Kluyveromyces lactis: one gene and its partner. The protein of the gene in region 1 binds, or shares a complex with, the protein of each later gene. Links are inferred from orthologs where the notes say so. Each region holds a gene or a part of one and is shown on either strand. Other genes may lie near its edges.

Evidence for each region. Proteins that work in one complex are often made in the same cells at the same time.
Region 2: RPL29 (region 1) and RPP1B share a complex: the UniProt entries of both Schizosaccharomyces pombe proteins name them as parts of the large ribosomal subunit. The link is inferred for Kluyveromyces lactis from reciprocal best matches to the Schizosaccharomyces pombe genes rpl29 and rpp102.

The regions. Positions count from the first base shown.
Region 1 is NC_006040.1:1,353,665-1,355,910, forward strand, and holds RPL29 (60S ribosomal protein eL29), read right to left. Parts: upstream 774-2,246; coding exon 585-773; downstream 1-584. UniProt on the Schizosaccharomyces pombe protein: Component of the ribosome, a large ribonucleoprotein complex responsible for the synthesis of proteins in the cell.
Region 2 is NC_006042.1:543,669-545,895, reverse strand, and holds RPP1B (ribosomal protein P1 beta), read right to left. Parts: upstream 900-2,227; coding exon 585-899; downstream 1-584. UniProt on the Schizosaccharomyces pombe protein: Component of the ribosome, a large ribonucleoprotein complex responsible for the synthesis of proteins in the cell.

The DNA of each region.
Region 1 (2,246 bases):
ATGTTAATTTTTTACAACTTCGCTTGGCTGTTTCCTGTTGAAACTCTTCCAAATCTTCTATATGATGTGAACTTAAGCTCCACAAGTACGCCCTTTCGACTGTTGCCTATACTATCAAGCGATGTATTGGGAATTCAAGAAGGCCTTTGACTTTGTGTTCATATATATAATGTTTCGAGGAAGATTTCTGTATAGAAGTTGTGTCACAAAATCAGGGGCTACCTGACGTTTATCTATATATAATAAAGGAATAAGGCGAGTGGCGTCAATTAGATGACTTTTGACACGAAAAATTCCACAATAGAGTCCTTCAAAAATAAAAAAGGGAAACTAGCCGCCGTTCTTGACGTATCCGGGTAACAACTATACCTTACACTTTTTGAAAGTTTCATGCACGTGACTGTGAGATGAGATTCTAAGGCTAAGGAAAGACGCCTGAAGAGCATTAACGTAATTACAAAAGTAACCGTCAGTTAATCTTAAATTAATGATATTATGAAAGAAACGTTATACAAGATAGTTGAGTTAGTCTAATTGGGAAAAAAGTTCATTTTTTTCAATCGACAGAACAAATACTAAGCTGCTTATTTCTTTTCAGCACGCTTAGCAGCCAAAGCCTTGGCAGTACCGTGCAAAGCGAATCTATGGTTTCTTCTGAACTTGGCATCGACACCCTTCAAGGATGGGTACTTGTAGGTCTTTGGCTTCTTGATACCGTTTCTGTGAGCCTTTTTGGTTTGGTTGTGAGCGGTATGGTTCTTAGACTTAGCCATTTCGAACTATAGGAAAATATATTCATCATTAATATTGTTAGTAAAATTGAATTTGGAATTGATAAGTGTTTTCTGTGATATAATGGATGTACAGAGGAAAATTAAATCGTCCATATGTTAAAAGTCTGCCAGGAGTATTGCTTGTAAAGTATAAGACCTGATTTGTCCATTGATTGACTCCGTCGTGTAGTAAGTTCTCAGTATTGTATTCGTTCTGCCCTCCATTTCAGCAGTTAGTTCCGATCATCAGTTAACAAATCTCAGTCAATAGTGCTCTAAGTTTCATTCGTTACGGCATGATTCTTCTCTAGTCAATGTCAATGATGGTTACCTCTCGTTTTAATTCGATATCAAACTTGGTGAATAAAGATCATACTGATCCTCAATTTAACGGTAATTTGTTCGGTCTTTCTCCAGTACTCCATATATCACTTAGGTGCCATGTTTAAACGTACGTTTTCAGTTGGTTTCCGGTTCTCTTACGACTGCTAATGTAACAACACGAACTACCTTTAATTTAGCATTCACTCCTTTCAATTGATGTTTGAAGTGAAGGTTCATTGTCTGAACTATGAAGTGGCAGGCGAAAACCTGCAATCTGACGAAAATGGAGCAGCAGAAATACTAAATACGGTAATTTCTTTCAGTTTTTGAATTTCCCGAGATACACCAAATTTTGAAAGAAATAAAACCAATGGGTGTACGGGTGTTAACTAAAGTTTAAACAGTCCTCGTTTATCAGAATTTCATGGACCAAAACTGTTTATCTCAAACCCATACTAGCCTCAAATAAAGATTGCACGACATAATATATCGTCAAATATTTAAGCATGAAGATCAACATAATGAGACAATAATGTGAGCATAAACATCAAAGAAAAAGTATGACGGACTGCTGTACGGATTGTTTTTTTCTTTTCATTTACAAATTAAATAAGTGCCAAAGAAAATGTTAGATGAACAAAAGGTTTTAGGTACAGATGAAATAAATAAACATGACTAAGACTTGGAAACAATTAACATATCTTGATCCCAATTTTTTATTGAAAGGAAAGGGTCAGTAAAATGATACCATATTACTCCTCTCTTTCCTTCTATTTGCAATGCCATGGGTGTTGAGAAAGGTTATTTTCTTAATTCTTTTGAGAAAAAAGAGGAAGAAAACCGAATCTAGTAGTAATAATAATAATAATAATAATAAAATAATGGTAGTGGAGTAGTCTCTTCTTCTGAATTTTTTTGGTACAGTTCTTCAAATTGATTCCAGATACCCTTCGATCTGTGATTCCTTCACTTTTTTGTTTCTTATTTTTAAATTTTAAGTTTATTGTGTTTCTAAGTCAATAATTCATAATAGTATGGGATGGATTGTGTGGTTGTTTGGAATTGAAAAGAAAACTCTACTTATTTCCTCAAATTGCAAGGGGGAACCTTAGGTGATTACGATAAGCTGAAACATCTTTTTCGCTTTTA
Region 2 (2,227 bases), on another chromosome or scaffold:
ATATTATCTTCACTAGTTTACGGGTGATTCTTATCATTTTTCTTTTTGTTCAGATGTCAATTCGGCAGACGTATATTTAACAATGGAAGAAAGCTTAACATAGAGTTCTACACAGTAAAGTTCGCACAGGGTCCAATTCGAAAGAAGGGGATTTCTGTACAGATGTAGGTACACAGGCATATCTCATATATATTATAACGCAAAAAATATTAAGGAATCAAAAACACTCCACAAAGTCTGATATGGTCCATTCCAAACAGATGATATATATCTAGAAGAAATACGAATACAAATTATATATACACATGAAATGACATATCCAAAAAACTGTACCAATTCCGAGAAAATCGATATTCGATGTATCGACAGATAGTAGATGAGATACCAAAATATGCTCTGTTTATTAGTGTAGTATGTCCCAACTGCCAGTATTTTTGCCAATGTGTTTCTAATATTTCTTCATGATGACGATACCTGTGGTAAGTAATAGATTAATATGACGCTAAAAGGAAATTCGAGGGAGGGAGGAATGCTCCTTGAGAAAATGTGTTGAATTGTTTTATTTGTTTTTTATATTTTGACGTTTAATCGAACAAACCGAAACCCATGTCATCGTCAGATTCTTCCTTTTCAGATTCTGGAGCTTCTTCAGCAGCAGCTTCAGAGTCACCAGAAGCAGCACCGGCACCAGCAGCTGGAGCAGCTGGACCAGCGGCGTGGAAACCGGACAAGATTTCCTTGATGTCCTTACCTTCCAAAGCCTTAGCGAAGGTTTCAGCCCACACGTTGTCGATAGAGGCACCGGCAGCCTTGGTCAAAGTCAACAAGTTGTCGGCAGTGACATCCAAACCGGCATCAGCCAAGATCAAAGAGGCGTAAGAAATAACAGCGTCAGACATTGCTAGTTAGGTATGATGTGTATATGTGGATCTATAGCAAAATCGCAACAACAAGCAATTGAACCTCAACAAACAACCTAACTACAACTTATCAATAAATACGTGTTGTATAATTAAACGTTCAATATCTTATTGAAATCTAGCTAGTTTTCCAGTGAAAAATATTATTCGGTGAAAATTCAGAAAATCTGGAAAACTGAACAAGATTTGAAGTTTTGTTGATCCAAAAACGACAACAAGGGAGGGTAAGTTTACACAGAAGAAGATGTACAAGACAACGCCATAGATGTAAGAGACACTAAAACACTTAAAACAGGAACAGCTACGTGTTGCCAATCGTCAGAATATCCCATAGCACGGGTTTCAACTACCACCGGCCCCAAAAAGTGTTGTCAAGCTCGGTAGAAATACAATATAATTTATGCGTATCTCAGGGCAGAACTGTCAATATGGGTGTAGTGTATGGGTGTTAAGTGGGATTTATTTCCATTAATGGAAAAAACAGAATATATTATAATGAGAAATTTAAAGTGAGATGACTGGGTTTTACACACAATCATGACAGCACCATATGAACAGTCCCGAGCTACATATTATAACATGCAAAAGTGATAATAAAAAAAGGATAATTTTTTCTCCGATACCGGGAGTCGAACCCGGGTCTCCACGGTGAGAGCGTGGTGTGATAGCCGTTACACTATATCGGATTACTAATTTTAGATATCTCAATAGGACTGAACTCACTTCCCCACGAAAGGGTAACTTCTACTAAGTTACTGTAAATAATATCTTTCCTTCAATTCAGTGTTTCCCTTGGATCACTGTGAAGCAACCTACGAAAGGTTAGGACTGACTGTTCATTCCATTGTGTAATCCTGAGTGAAATTGATTTCTAATTATAGTATAATGAATGTTAATATATTAAAATTGAATTACATGATTATAGTTTTGTTTTTAATCTCATTTTCAATATTACCAAAAACTTTACGTGTGGTGTCAGCGCATACGCGAGCCAATACGCATATACTCAACGCTTCCATAAGAAAGAACTGTAAAACGGCGAAGATGAACAAGTAAACACTTCTTCCTTGAGCGCTTACCAACGGGCGTTTTTAAGCTGACATGATAGATAAAAAAAAAATCTGTATCCATTTTCTTGGTTTTCATAATTTCGTCAATAATAAAATTCTCAATTTGACTGCGTAGAAAAAAACATTAACTACGATTGGGTTGATCTCATTAATCAACAGACAGCTTAGTTGATCGAATTGTAGAATATTTTAAAGGTTTTTTTCTTTGAAAAAGGGCGTTTAATGAATTGGGTTTGG